Drosophila melanogaster: one gene and its partner. The gene in region 1 interacts genetically with each later gene. Each region holds a gene or a part of one and is shown on either strand. Other genes may lie near its edges. The genes, in order: Fancm and mus312.

What was found.
Region 2: of Fancm (region 1) and mus312, changing one suppresses a phenotype caused by changing the other (phenotypic suppression), as found in Drosophila melanogaster (one study listed by BioGRID).

What each region holds. Positions count from the first base shown.
Region 1 is NT_033777.3:21,480,284-21,488,068, reverse strand, and holds Fancm (fanconi anemia group M helicase), read right to left. Parts: upstream 5,745-7,785; 5' UTR 5,683-5,744; coding exon 5,608-5,682; intron 5,551-5,607; coding exon 5,217-5,550; intron 5,089-5,216; coding exon 4,214-5,088; intron 4,118-4,213; coding exon 1,466-4,117; intron 1,403-1,465; coding exon 1,191-1,402; intron 1,137-1,190; coding exon 815-1,136; 3' UTR 625-814; downstream 1-624. UniProt on the Drosophila melanogaster protein: A ssDNA-dependent ATPase with 3' to 5' helicase activity. Involved in multiple DNA-damage responses, some that require ATPase and helicase activity and some that are independent of these.
Region 2 is NT_037436.4:7,326,917-7,334,030, reverse strand, and holds mus312 (mutagen-sensitive 312), read right to left. Parts: upstream 4,900-7,114; 5' UTR 4,793-4,899; coding exon of another isoform or gene 4,668-4,792; intron 4,603-4,667; coding exon of another isoform or gene 4,441-4,602; coding exon 4,394-4,440; exon of another isoform or gene 4,343-4,393; intron 4,316-4,342; coding exon 3,792-4,315; intron 3,733-3,791; coding exon 2,800-3,732; intron 2,740-2,799; coding exon 2,695-2,739; intron 2,639-2,694; coding exon 738-2,638; 3' UTR 560-737; downstream 1-559. Other genes in the region: CG42307 (uncharacterized protein), read right to left, coding at 4,440-4,602, 4,668-4,792; mrva (minerva), read left to right, coding at 5,703-7,114. UniProt on the Drosophila melanogaster protein: Regulatory subunit that interacts with and increases the activity of different structure-specific endonucleases.

The DNA of each region.
Region 1 (7,785 bases):
ACTTATAACTTATACAATATAACTTATAACTTCAATGTATCTTATAACTTCAATAAGTTCAAACAGCAATCTCATATGCGCGCCATCTGGCGGCCTGTGCGTTCCCACTTTACCCGTAAGGTGGTGATGTATTTTTCATGACAAAAGACCCAAGTATGTATAACACCATCTAGGGAGCCATTCGTATTGTAATATATTCATAGTCTGGCAGCACCAGACAACGAGTAATTTATAGGGCTGCCAGATAAAACTGTACGAAATCAGCGATACCAGAATTTTATGTTCTAAAAAGTGTTTTGGAAAATTTTTTTTGGATATACCTCAATATGCAAAACTCGTGCAGAAAAATCGATTGACATTGGTCATTAACATTGGGTACGCATCTTAAAAACCACCGAGAATTTAAGTTATTGAACAGGAGATTTAAATAGATTCTTGATTCATGCAGCTAATAGTTACCAGTATTTATTTAAGCAGGTTCACTATAGAAGACCGATACTCGCAAGAACTTGGGAGCTCCATAATTACTCCATGATTGAATGTATAAATGCGTTAGGAAGGATAACAAATAGAGAAACGCAACATATAAAATTTTAGATATTTCGTTAATTTTATTATTTGTATCTAAAACAATGTAACCTAGTTAAATTATTGTATTCGCTTGAGTTAAAAATATTAACAATCAATTGGACTTATAAAGATCTGTATCACGTATTCACATAAATCTACAAGATTATTAAACGAAATAAAATCGGAAACATTTTAACAAATCACAAACTATTTAATGCAATGGCACTGGGAAGTGACGTAGCGTTTAATCAATTAAAACAACATCATCTTCATCGCTAGAGGTGCTTATGGTTTGTAATCGGCGTCGTTTATTAACCGGAGCGGAAGGCACCTTACCTAGTCGACGTTGCTTTCTTCGCTCCTTTAGAATACGTTCCGCTTTCTCAAGAGGACATTCGGAGACATCATGCCCTCTTTCAATCGTGGAGCTTTCGTCATCAACGATAAATGAGCATTGCATGTACTGCGAGGAATCGTCTTCCACTGGCTGAGAAAATATGTGCGATTCGTCGCGAAAAACTCGTGGAGGGGGCATCTTGAAGGCACCTGGCCTTTGAATGGGGCTCCTAGCAACGAGATATTGTTTAGTTAGACGCATTTATAATTCACCCTCGACTTACTTGAGTGCACGAAGGTAAATAGCATGAGTGTTTGTGTCGTTATGGTCCTCATCATCGCTTGAAACGATCATGGAGTCCTTCAGATATGTGCCTATGGTAGTCTCCCCTTCCTCCTCATGGTCCGATCCGCTTTTTTCAGCCTCATCCAAAATAAAGGAATTGAATTTACTGCGTTTGTGTCGAGGTCTCGTTGGAGTCTTACGAGGATCAGGCTGAAAGTTATATATGTCATATATTAGATGTATTGATCAAATTCTAAACTTAGGGATATATACCATTTGCGTGTCAAGAATTCTCTCGTAATCATCGGACTCGCAATCCACTTGGGTTTCCGCAATCTGTGGCTTCTGCTCCTCTTCCTCATCGGAACTTATAACAATCTTTCGTTTGGATGGACGCCGCGCAATAGGAGAATCCTCTTCGTCTTTAGGTACTGAGATTGTAGGATTCGTTGAAGTTATACGGTGAAGATTCTCCGCAGCTTTAGCAAGACGACCACGACCCCGCATTCGATTTAAATATAGATCAAAGATACTTGGAGACTTTTCCTGGATAGAAGGATTGGTACGTTTCCGGTTCTCCGGCGAATTAAGACCTACTGAATTCGGCGGTGGGCAAGGCAAAACCTTTGCTGCTGCCTTGGCTGCCAATTTTGCGGCCAGACTTTTTCCTTGGGGCTTCAAAGGTGACATGGAGTCAGATCCAAAGATATCTGGCGAAACGGTTCTTGAGCCATCCTCATGTGAGTTTTTATTTTCTGAGTTTTTAATTGTTTCTGTACTTGGAAGCAGTATGTTTTTCTTCTGCTGGCTCATTAGCTCTAACTCCTCTGGCATTGGCTCGAGAAAATCCTTGAAGTCATTCGCCTTTTTTTGGCTCATCAACTCCACTTCCTCCACCATCGGCTCTAGAAATTCTTTCAAGTCCTCGTCCGTTAGATCAAGGTCATTGTTGTGTGCTGTTTCTTTCTGCTCGCAGTTTTTCTCCAATTTTTCCATCTGGTGATCTACGATGTTCTCTTGCGACTTCCCTTTTGTCTGGGAGGCTAATTCCAGTTCCTTGTCCATTGGCTCTAGAAAATCATCCAAGTCGATATCCAAATCTTCTACAATGGATTCTGCGTGCATTTTCAGATTTAAAGAGGACTTAACTTCTACTTTCGTCTCATCTATGCTCATTGGATATATCTCACTATTTTTATTAACAGCACAGTGATTTGATTCACCTGAAGAATCTGCAATGGAAATAGGAGTTGATCTTTGACTTTCTTCCACGGCTGGAAAGTGATTTGTCTCAATTGTAGAGTCTACTACAGGAATAGGTGCAATTCTTTCAGTCGCTTTAATCTTCGATTCACTTGCGTTCATCAGTGAATTTAGGCGACCTAAGTTGTCCCCCAATTCACTAGCTTCCATCCCGGAATGATACTCCTCTTCAATATCGCCCTGCAGGGTTTTAAACATTAATTTGCTCAAGGGTTTGACCCTGAGCGGCGTTGAGCTATGGGGGACAACATTCGCGTCTGGTAAGTTCAATTGCTGGCTTAGGTACATAGACTCAAATTTCACGTCTTCCTCCTGTTGGTCCCACTCCTCTTCTGACCAGGAAGCTTCAATGCCACCCAGTTGCTCGTTTACTGTGGTTTCCAGATTGCGAAGCTCAAGTTTCTCTAAAAGATCTTGCTTCAGTTCAAAATTGTTCGAGTTTAGGCCATGCTCATTCAGACCATCGAAAATCTGTTCACAAATGGTATCGAACTTTTTGGGACTTTGATTATAAATAGGATTTAGTTCATCCCTGAAGCTAATCTCTGCTCCACTATTATCCCCTTGAAGAAGCTCATTCATCTGGTCCATTCCGTCGCAAATGTCCAGAAGCAGTTGATAATTATTTTTAGTGCGTCGCTGCCGACTATTTAAGCGATCATCAGCTATATTCAACTCGCTCTGGACTTGCATCTTCAAATGGGTTTCCCTCAGAAATTCGGGATTACTTTTGAGTAAGTAGAGCTTTATTTGCCTGGGTAAGTGATCGTCCTGCAGATGGCTCATAAGATCCTTGGAGTCCGAAACAAATGGCTTGCTTGACTGCAGAAGGCGAGTAAGTTTTCGGAGGCGTTGCACATCTTCCTGACTGCTGGTTAACGTTGAGCTGGCCTGAGATTCCCCAAAGAAGTTCTTCAGAGTTACGCTGCGCCGTAGAACTTGCTGCTTAACCAATTGCTGTGAAGCTTCGCTCATTTGGTAGGGTTTTATTCCCTGCAATATTCCTTGCTGACTCTCCGTTGGAGGACTTTCTTTGAAGTATTTCCTTAGGCTACCAGTCTGTGCAACTGGTTGCTTCCGCTTCCTGGATTCTTTCGTCTTGGCTGCCGACTTCGGCTTGGGTTTCTCCTCAGCAACTGGCTCCATGTGTTTCTCCTCGCATTTTGGTTGAAATTTTGATGGCACCATTCGAGGATTTTGCTCATAAAGCGACAATTTAACAACGGACGAATTCAATAGCTTCTTGTTGATTTGATCCTTGTTGGCCAGAACATCCTTAAGCACCTGCTGTTCTCGTCCTTCGGTCACTAGCATAACCACCTCTCCATTCTTCTTCCTTCCAGTGCGCCCAATCCGCTGAATAAATCTAGTGGGATTAGTGCTGCAAATGTCGAAGCACACAATCATCTCCACCTCGCCGACGTCTAAGCCCTCCTCTCCGATCGACGTGGCCACCAGAACGTTGCTAGTGCCGGATCGAAAGTCGGTCATTATCTGCAGCTGCTGTTTCTGGGTGAGAGCATAGCTTGCTCCAACTGTGCTGCCCTGGCCAACAAAACAGCGCGGACGGAGCACCGGTCTGTGTTGAAGGAGTAGCCGGTGAATCAGCATTACGGATTCACGGTACTCGCAGAAAACAATGGCGCGGGAATCGGGGTTTGCCTATTAAAGAAAACATTTATATTAACAAGGGAATATGTTTATCGGTTTCATGAAAATTATATGAAAACTTCTTTTTTTTTGATTTTTTGCCCCTACCTGAAAGTGTTGCACCAACACCTGTCGCAACTTCTCATATTTGGCATGTCCAAAGTCTAGATCAGATGGCAAAGGCGGCACTTCTCCATTCGTCATGGCATGCGTGGTGTAATCTAGGGGATTGGCACCGAGTTCTTGGCGGACCTGCTCCACCAAATTCCTTAGATTACCATCTCTGGCCAGTACAAATTTCTCTCGCCCGTCGTCGTCTGCATCGAAATTGTTCACGAAGACGCGAAGACCGTGACGCTCCATTAGGTCCAGCGAGTGGTACATGCTGATGCACATGGCGAAGTTGCCCATTATTATGTTGTGATCCGGATGCCGCTGGCCTTGCGCCGATCGTTCGACGAAGCTTTTCTGCTCAAAGAGCAAACTATTTCTGCTCACGGTTCCCTTGTTGCCTTTAAAAATCTCAGCTTCCATAAGCTGGCGTAGGTATGGTTCGATGATCTGCAGCAATCGTTCTCTCGGCTCCTTGATTCTCTCCTTCAGGGAGACCACTATGGTTCGAATCGTCCGCCTGTGTATGTAGGGCTGCACGTCGATCGAGGTGTCCCAGCGCACTTGCAGATTGGAAATGTATAGGTTTCGGCACACAGCTGCCACATCCTCCATGGTTCTTCCTGGTGTAGCGGACAGGGCAAGCATCCGGAAATACCTGTTACGTGCCATCAGACAGTCGGCCACTTGGGTGTAGGCATAGCGACCTTTGGCCCGGTGCGCCTCATCCACCACTATCAACTTGATGGACCCAAAGGGAAAGCTGCATTCGCCATCAGCTTCCAGCATGTCTGAGTGCACCACCTGCGGCGTAGCGAAGAAGACCCGCTTGGAGGCCCACAGCTCAGCTCGTTTGGGTCGAGGAAGTTGGCCTGGAATAAAAATGGGACTGGAGCTTATTTTTTGGATTCAGGACTTGTAAGGCAGTCGGCACATCCAGGTTCTTTTAGTCATATAACCCGGTAAGCATTTGTAAATAAGTCTTCACATTTGAACTCACCTGTTAGCTGCACCGTGTCTTCAGATGGAAAGGGCATGATCTTCTGGGATGCGTGGATCTGCTGCGAGACCAGGGGCCTTGTGGGTGCCATGAACACAATCTTTCCCTTTGGATACCACCTGTAAAAGTTGTACATAACCACCGCCGCAATGAAGGTCTTTCCCAATCCCGTGGGCAACACCACCAGGGTGTTTTTGAACAGCGCCGATTGGACGATGGTTTGTTGATAGGATCGTAGGGGCAGGTTGTTTGGATAAATCCAGTTGTGTCCTGTGGCCATATCGAAACCATCGCAGGCTTCGTCGCAATGTTCCCAACGTGTTCCATCGGCATCCTGAGGATCCAAACTGTGAGAGACTCTGCGCTCGCAGGAGTAAATACAAGTAAATACCTCGCTCTTCTGCTCTTCGTGCATAGCCAAGGCCGCCACTAGGTCTTCGTCATCGTCCATCCAATTCACATCCATGATAGCAGCAATCTTTTGATAACAACTACTGCACGACGATCTACATTTTGTTTTGAAAGTGTTTACATTGCTTTACATTGTGTTTATAACATAACATTCCGTTAGGGATGAGCTAATCATTTTAGGTGGCGCTGTTGGAGTATATCGATCACACAAATCGTGACATGAAAACTAATTTTAGTCTGTAAAACCCTCTAAATATAGGGTAATAAGTAAAAATAAATACAATTCTCAAAAATTGTTAACTGTCTAAGCAAGCTTGAAGCGGCTTCTTATAGCGCGGATTTGCTAAGCCATTAAACAGTGCTCTAAAATGGTGCCAAATACGAGAGTGGCAGCACTGCTCCAGATGGCGCCACTGTGTATATGTTTGCCAAACACTTAAATTCAAATAAAAGCGCGCCAATTTTAAACAGTGACTAAGTTGATTTTAGAGAATAAAGATAAATGAGTGATCAAATGGCAATAGTTTACATTAATTAAAAGAGCTCTTGTATGATTTCCCTTAATCAGTATCATATCGGTGAAAAGTATTGCTAAAATGCCGAAATCCTTACGAAAACGCAGACCCCACAATCTGCCCGGAAATGTCAAGCCCCATTTAATGTCGCCAGTTCGTAATTGGGCGAATACACACTGCGTACTTACAGATTGCCCGAGTACTTTTCGCGATATTTCTGTCGTAGATGTTCTGATTGTCTTAAATTAGGCGCTTCCAACGAACGTTCTTATTTGCTTTTATTTCCCCAACGAAAAGGCTTGGTATCAAAAGAAAAGCAGTACGGGTAGATACAATTAAACTGGTAGCAGCATTAGGATATTTAACAAATACCTTTTAATGAATTGATTAATTAATGGAATGGAACTGAATTTTTAATTTTTAATGTATAAGCCGAATAATATAATTGAAATAATATACTTCCCATGCTGACTAAACTCAACCTTAATTTCTGAAGTTATTCCACAAATCCTTGCCCCTGCTGCTGATGAGGGAAAATGATAATTAGCAAGCACATACATACACTTGGCCAAGTTTGACGGAAAAACATACGTAAATAGTCACAATCTCATTTCAAAATCTTCACCTAATGAGCATTGACCGTGTGTGGGGGAATCTGAGTCCGAGAGCTGGATGTCATGGCCCACTCCCGCGGAAAAGCACGGGCACCGGAGAACGCTCACAAAATGTAATTATATCGCATTATTTGTCATTCCGAGCAAATGAATTGAAACAAATTTAGTGTGACAAATGAATTGTTCACTTATGTATGTAAGTTCGTGTGTTTGCTCGTAGTGGGGGGCTGGGGCTGGGGGAGGGGCACCCCATTCGGCAGCCACCGTGAGCTGGGACAGAAATACCCGGGCACACGGGTACACGGGACACACTCAATTTGCTGGCTCTCTAGTCAATTTCATTTCATTTGCATGAAGTTCTCCCTCTCTTCGGGGCTCCCTCCTCATATAGACAATATACATGAATATATGAATGTACATATCTCGGTGTGCGTGCTATCTGTGGGATATCTGTATGTATCTGTGGGCCATGGGCACTACGCCTTTTGCCTAATTCGGCTTTATGAGCCATGTCTAATTACCAAATGAATTGTGCAATTATTTATTTTTGTTTATTAATTGGCTGCCGCTTTAATGAGCCTAATGACCAGATATCTGAGCGTAGATTCGAGTGTCCTATGGGCACATGTGATGAGTCACAGGTTATTGCGATGCCCTGCCCGACATGGCCAACATAAATGTCATGACTTATGCGCTGTGCTGCGAGTGCTGCGTTGCGATGCGGTTGCCATACCCTTCTCGACTCATCGACTTATCTCCGACGACGCCAAGTCGCCAAGTTACGAGTATTTGCGGTTTACATCATAACGAGCACTCTCCATACAAAGTTGCCCAAGCGGAATCAGCCACCACGGGAAACCAGGCTAGAAAGGGCCCAGACCCTTTTATGCAAAGTGCTTTTAGTCGGGGTTGGGGTGATCCAAAGGGTATTCACTACGGCTGAAACAGTCACTCAAAAAAAATGTTAAGAAGGCCTTTTTTAAATATCCATTGAGATGACGACTATCACATGGCCTAACAAGAACATGT
Region 2 (7,114 bases), on another chromosome or scaffold:
TGGACAGCCCTGCCTTTAATTTACATACTTATACATGCCGGCAATGCTACGAATTGCTTCTTATATATCTCTCTCCCCCCAAAACTAATCCTAGCTACTGTAAGAGCCCACTAACCCGTCTGCACCCACCAACCATATCAGTTTTGCATGCAGTACAAATAGTTTCATTAGCAACCAGTTTTGTTCGAGCCGATTCCATTCCATTAATCGCAATCTGACAATGTGCCTTTCACGTAGAGACTCGTAAGAAATTTATACCGTCCAAGTGTCTTTTCTAGCGCCGTAAGATCGAATTGTATTTTTACATTTAATACCCATTTAGGGTAGTCTGTCTACAGATGCTGCATTTAATGTTGTCCAATATTCTACTCGTATGAAAATATCAGTGTCTTGTATCTACTACAAACTCTATACATTTGTATTCGTCCATTAGTTTTGTAATATTGTATTTTGAAGTTGCATCAAATAAATCTACGGCCCCCAAAATAATATTGTGTTTTTTAATCGTAGATGCTAGTGGGTAGCTTGAAATGGCAAATAGGAATGGTTAACAATGCTTCAAACAAAAGTGTTGAATGTATTTGAGTTTTATCAATTTTACATACAATAAATTTAGATCGCAAAATACCAAGTAACAATATCTTATTCAATAATACAATATAAGGTAAATACTAGAAAATAATTCAATGCATTCAAAGTTAGGTATAAGTACAATGAAATTCCATAACTTGTAGAATCTACTTCCTTTTAGAAGGCTTTTTTGTGTGCCTTCGCACATGACGCTCTGCTTGCTTGCCGGGAGCACCCAGTTCATAGCGAAAGATAATGCAACGCCGGTCGAAGAAGGTCTTCAGGTCCTTTGGATCGTATCGATGCCCCATGTGCTTCAGGTGCAAGTAAACTGCCTGCAAATCAATGGGTTCGTACGTGAGTACACTTTCGTGCAGTTGGGGATTGGCGCAGATGAGATTGTGCCAGGCGATGTGCAGTGGCACCAGCGGCTGTGGTGTCTTCTTGGTAACGTTCGTTTGCATGACAAAGGTCTCGAAGTCATCGCAAAGACTCGGGGCAAGGGATTGGGAAAAGCGCAGCAATTCCTCGCCCGTGGCATCGTTAAATGTTAAATCCTTTTTTGTCCCAATTGCCTTCAATGTTTTAGAGGTTGACTTTGCTACTTGCGAATGTGGTCTCTCCATAATCACAGGAGTTGACTTGGAACGCACAATTGGCTCAGATCTGGCTGGTAAATCCTGAACAGCAGCTGTCTTCATTATGGGATGCGTTTGATTGTAGATGAATTCGAGCATTTTCACTGCCTGTTTGCGTTTTAGTGGCTTTATGCCGTACTTGTAGAGCTGCTGGAGGATCTCCGATTCCGGGAGGGTGGCGAAATCTGGCTTAGGTGTGTGACAAACACGCACGGAGTAGACATTGCCGTCAACATCTACTTGCTGCGGTTCAATCGGAGTTTGGTTGCCTGGAGCTCTTGTCTCCGGGATCGCTGTCGTTTTTATCTCTCCCTTCAACAAAAGGTCCAATCCCTGAGGCATGTCACTTGTTTCGCCAGCACTGGAGGCGGCTTCCTTGGTGCTTTGGAAAACCATCTGATCGAATTCGTCAAAGTCGTCGCCAGAGTTATGCGCTGGTTTGCTTATTTTCGCCAAGAGCTCATTAAATTTGTGGCTGCTCCTGCGTGACAATGGCTTTGCTGGTGCATCCAAAAATGAAGCTTCTGCCCAGTTGATTTCGTTATCCGATGACTTCTCTTTGTCGGCGTGACTCTGAAGTTCAGATAGACTGAAGGGTTGAGACGGAGCAGCATCCAGTATTCCGAATTCAGCACGCTCCTTGCTAAGAGCACTCTTGTTGGGAGAATGTGAACCTTGCGATCCATTGCCATCCGTGGAAAAGTCCATCAAGAAGGCATCCAGATCCTCCTCAGTTTGGAACTGTGGGATAGCTCGCTTTTTCGTCACCGGAGATGCAAAGCAACTGTCTGAGCTATCGTCCCCGATATCCAAATCTTTTACGGTCTTATTGCCCTTCCAAATGGAGTAATTGATTTCCTCGTCGGAGAGCAGAATTGCGTCGTTTTCGTCATCGCTGTTCTGGGTTAAGTCCACACTAGCATCCGACTGTTTGTAAGGAGAAGCAGCCGGCGAGACCCTCTTCTCGGCTGATGAGTTCATTTTCCAGTTAAGCGGACTTTTGAAACTGAGATCCGTTGATAGACTAACGCTCCTCCGAAGCGAGTTCCTCGAGAAATTCAATTCACTGAAGCTTGAACTGTGTTCGGTGTCATTTGGAGTGGTTAATATGCCGAGCTGATGCGACGATTGCTCGGAACTCTTCAAATCTCTTTCCATGCTTAAGGAAAACTCAATTTTATCCTCCTCTTCTGCTGCTGCATTCCACACAGGGAATGTTTCCACCTTGGCATACTTTGCGTACAATTCCTTGGAGATGGGACAACTTACCTCCTGGGAACTAAAATCTAGAATTGTATCACCATTTAGGTTGTCTACATTGGAATCTGTTTCCGATGATGCAATTAAGTTTGGGGTTCTAGGCTTTGATTCATTAAATTCTACCATATCGAACTCTTGTGTTAGGTCTATAAAGTCATCTATGGGTTTGTCTGGAAATTAAAATATGAATGAGATTTTGGTATCGAACTTTTCTGTGTTTACTCACCATCAAAAGAAATCTTCTCCTGCGTAGCGTTGGAAACAGTCTTTACTGAAAGCAAATTGAAATACTCTTAAGGGGTGTGCTGTCTATATGAATGGAGATTCTCACCTTCGTCGCTGGAAAACACTTCATACGTGGTTATCTGAGAAGGTTCATCATTGCTGGACACAATTTCTATTTCAGCGACCGAAGATGATCGTTCGCTAATGCTGACATTCTTGTAAACTTTCATTGAAAGATTCCTAACGTCTTCGGGTTCATTGGATATAGCAGTCGTTACTATATCCGGCTCATCTTCGGAGTCCGCAAAGAGATCCGGCGAGGTGCAGCGGGTTGACTGGGCGGGAACAGTCAAGCTGGCTTTTGATGTTGTTGGCTGCAGGTTTTCCTTATCTTCCATTGTCATTTTTGGACGCTTATCCGGCGGCTCCTTTGATGGACTGCTACCAGTCGACGATGATTCTGCCTCCACAATATTTATCACTACAGAATCATCTTCGATCATGTTATCTGCCACCAGTTTTTCCAATTCATCCAGTTCCTGCATCACCTCCTCTTCTAACTTCTGTGGATCACCGTAGTACCTTTCCAACTCAGCGTAGACAAGCTCATGTTGTTGCCTTAATTGGCGGCATTTTTGGGTCTCACGCTCTGGCGAAAAATCCCTTCCCTGTATCGCTGCCCAATTCTTCAAAAGATGGTGTGCCGGCGTGCGACTAACTTCAAACAAGTCGGTTACGTAGTATGATTCTAGGTCATCTATGGGCCCTTCGCTTGGTTCCCGAAGGATGCGAGATTCACCCTCAGCTCTGAGTTCCTTCAATGCTGCGGTGATCACAGTGTATGGTGTCAGACAACAGTCTTCCCCGTTGGGCTCCTTGCCGCGCATTTCTTGGCCAAGCAATGCAGACACTTTCTCCTCGAGCTTCTTCTGTTGCACATCCGGATTTCTTAAAGTTAGGGAAGTAAACCTATTGGCCCACTTGCCACGTCTACCTCCTTTGCTGGCCACCACGGGCAGGACCGCCAGAGATTTATAATCTAAATGGGGATAAAACGTAAGTCCAATCTTACCGTTTACACTTTATAAGATGACTTACCTTCCTTGGCGGCTGTGCGGAAGCCATACTTCTGCAGTTTATGACGTATTCTCTCAGTGGACTTCTCTTCATCATCCAGTAGGTCAACCACCGCATCGTCATCGTCATGCAGACGAAGGCGTCCATGCTTCTCACTCTCCGATTTGGACAGCGCCAGCGCCATTTCAATGTCATCCGCACTAAAGTTGTCCGCCATGCAATGCTGGGCGGTAACCTCCGCGAAGATCTGCTCGTTGCGTAGAAAGTTGCTGATACTGGGCTGTTGTTTGCTCTTTCCGCGTCCACGACGCGCCCCACTCGACGTTGACACAGTGCTGGCCTTGAGCTTGGGTGCCTTTTTGGGCTTGGGCCCAGGTTTTTCGAACACATTGCTGGTGCGTATTGGTTTGATTTTTGGCGCAGGAGGATCGGGCTGAACAGGAATGTCGGCGAGACATGACGGAACTTCTTCAGCATTTTCGGGTGTGGCAAAGAAGTTGGATAACGATAATGTATCTGCGGCTGCTTTGGTGCTTCGCGTCAAACTTCGGATGAAAGGAAAACAAAGTGTTCGGTTAGATAATGACATTCATTTTATTGGCCTTTATTTCAATTAAAATTACCGAGGCTGCAGGTTTTTGAAGTTGGCTCGCCGCGTCTTGCGATCCATTATTTGTTCCTCTGCTCCTCGCTCTCCTTGATGGCGTCCCTGATGAACTGCGAAGTCCTTGGTGCGCCGAACTCAAAGAGTCCTTTCCTATCGCGCTCCTGTTCGGTTTGGGCCACCGCCTGGGACAGCTTCTCGTTGGCAATGCGCTGGATGGGAGTCAGGCTGAAAACGAGGCGGTGGCAAGCATTAAAACCACATTTATACGTTAAGTTCGAAGATCTGCTCACCTCCAAATGCCGAAGAGCACAGTTCCGGCGGCCAAGAGGGCATAGGCAAATCGATTGCGATACGTGTAGGATGGCGTGCCGTAGGTGCGTCTGGGCTTTCGCTTGGTGGTGTCGATGGGATCCATTGCTGCAAGGGCCGCTGAATTATATAATTAAATACATTTTACCCGGTAAAAAGTATGAAAACATGCTTCAACTCGGCGTTGCTGGATTAGGGTTGTCAGGCTATACTAAATTAAATCAAAACAAGATGCAAGAGATTTCTGCGTCGTTGAGCTCTTGTACTTAAATAGTTTCTCAATTAATGATTATCTTGTTTTATTAATATAATCAAGCGTTTTTATTTTTATTTATATAATTCTATTATATAAATAATCATGGCTTACTAAAATTTGCATTTCAATTAGAGTAAACTTTCGATTATAATGGAGAGCAAAACAGGAATACCGTTCATATTTGTGATCGTTATCGCCTGCCAGCTGTTCGAATGCACCTGTAGCTGCGTCGACAACCCTGCTCTACAGCGAGTTGGCAGCCCCGCCATTGTATATGCGTAATTAACGTTAATTAGGCAGAGGAAAGAATTTAGTTTTATTCGATCAGCAATAAAGTGCGGTTGCACACGTCACCGAACATTTGTTGCCCAACACCGCACTGCGAACTTCAGCTGCAAGTGGAGTGGAAAAACTGCTGATAACCAGTGAACCCAGAGACAACTAACTAGCCCACACAGCCAACAACAACAATAGTTGTTAGACAAAGGGTACTAGTACAGTAAACAAAAACAAAAGCAGCGAGATAAGCCAAGACAAAGCAGAAGAGTTCAACTCGCTCACTCGTTCGCAGAAATTGATACAAATATTTTGCAGAAACGGCAAATACGAAAAGAGAAAAACGAAAGCAAAAGAAAAAACAACTGCGGCAGGAAATCAGAAAGCCGATTAATCATATCACATAGTTTTGCATACGCCCATTCTGCGGGATTCGGCTCCACATCCAACTGGTCAGTGCGGATTGTGCCAGCGGTGAGTGGAGATGGCGCGCGAGGACGAGGAACGCATCGTGGACAATGAGGAGGTGTCGCGACCGACGGAGGAGGACCAAGTGGTCAGTCGGGCCGGTCGGCGTGACAATGAACTGAGCCTTCCGTCCGGCGGCTGCTGCATGCCCTCGAGCACGAGCCACCGGTTCATGGCTCTGGTGTTCATGTGCCTGCTGGGATTCGGCTCCTATTTCTGTTACGATGCACCCGGCGCCCTGCAGAACTATTTCAAGAAAGATCTTAATCTGACCTCCGCCCAGTTCACACTCATCTACTCGATTTACTCGTGGCCCAATGTCGTCCTGTGCTTCGTGGGAGGTTTCCTGATCGATCGACTGTTTGGCATTCGACTGGGCACGATTATCTACATGATGATCCTGCTGGTGGGTCAGTTGATCTTTGCCTGCGGCGGCATTCTGGACGCCTTCTGGATGATGATCCTGGGACGGTTTATCTTCGGCATTGGCGCCGAATCACTGGCGGTGGCCCAGAACAGCTATGCGGTGCTCTGGTTTAAGGGCAAGGAACTGAACATGGTATTCGGCCTGCAGCTGTCGGTTGCCCGATTCGGCAGCACCGTCAACTTCTGGGTGATGCAGCCCATCTATGAGTATGTGAGCAATTTTTACAAGGGACATACCGCTCTAGGCGTCGTCTTATTGCTGGCTACCCTCACCTGTGTGATGTCGATGACCTGTGCCCTCATCCTCGGCTGGATGGACAAGAGGGCCGAGCGGATTTTGCAGCGTAACAACAACCCGGCTGGACAGATACCGAAACTCACCGATGTCTTTTCGTTCAAACCACCCTTTTGGATGGTATCCATCATTTGCGTCGCCTACTATGTGGCCATCTTCCCATTCATTGCCCTCGGACAGAATTTCTTTGTTGATCGCTTCGGGCTTTCGCCTGCTGAGGCCAACACCGTGGACTCGCTGGTGTATCTAATTGCAGCCGTATCGTCTCCGGTCTTTGGTTTCATCATCGACAAACTGGGTAGGAATGTGACCTGGGTGTTCACAGCGACACTGACCACCATTGGAGCCCATGCCCTGCTTACGTTCACCCAGCTGACACCCTATGTGGGCATGATCATCATGGGACTGTCGTATTCCATGCTGGCCGCAAGCCTGTGGCCTCTGGTGGCTCTCATCATTCCGGAATACCAATTGGGCACGGCCTACGGCTTCTGCCAATCGATACAGAATCTTGGCTTGGCGGTCATCACTATCGTGGCTGGAATTATCGTGGATCACAGCGGCGGCGAGCACATGTGGCTGCAGTTGTTCTTCATGGGCTGGCTGACCATTGCCCTGATCTCCACCGGCGTCATCTGGGCCTACAACAACAAGAACCGCGGTAATCTCAACATGACACCCCAGCAACGGGCACAGTTCGTCAGCGC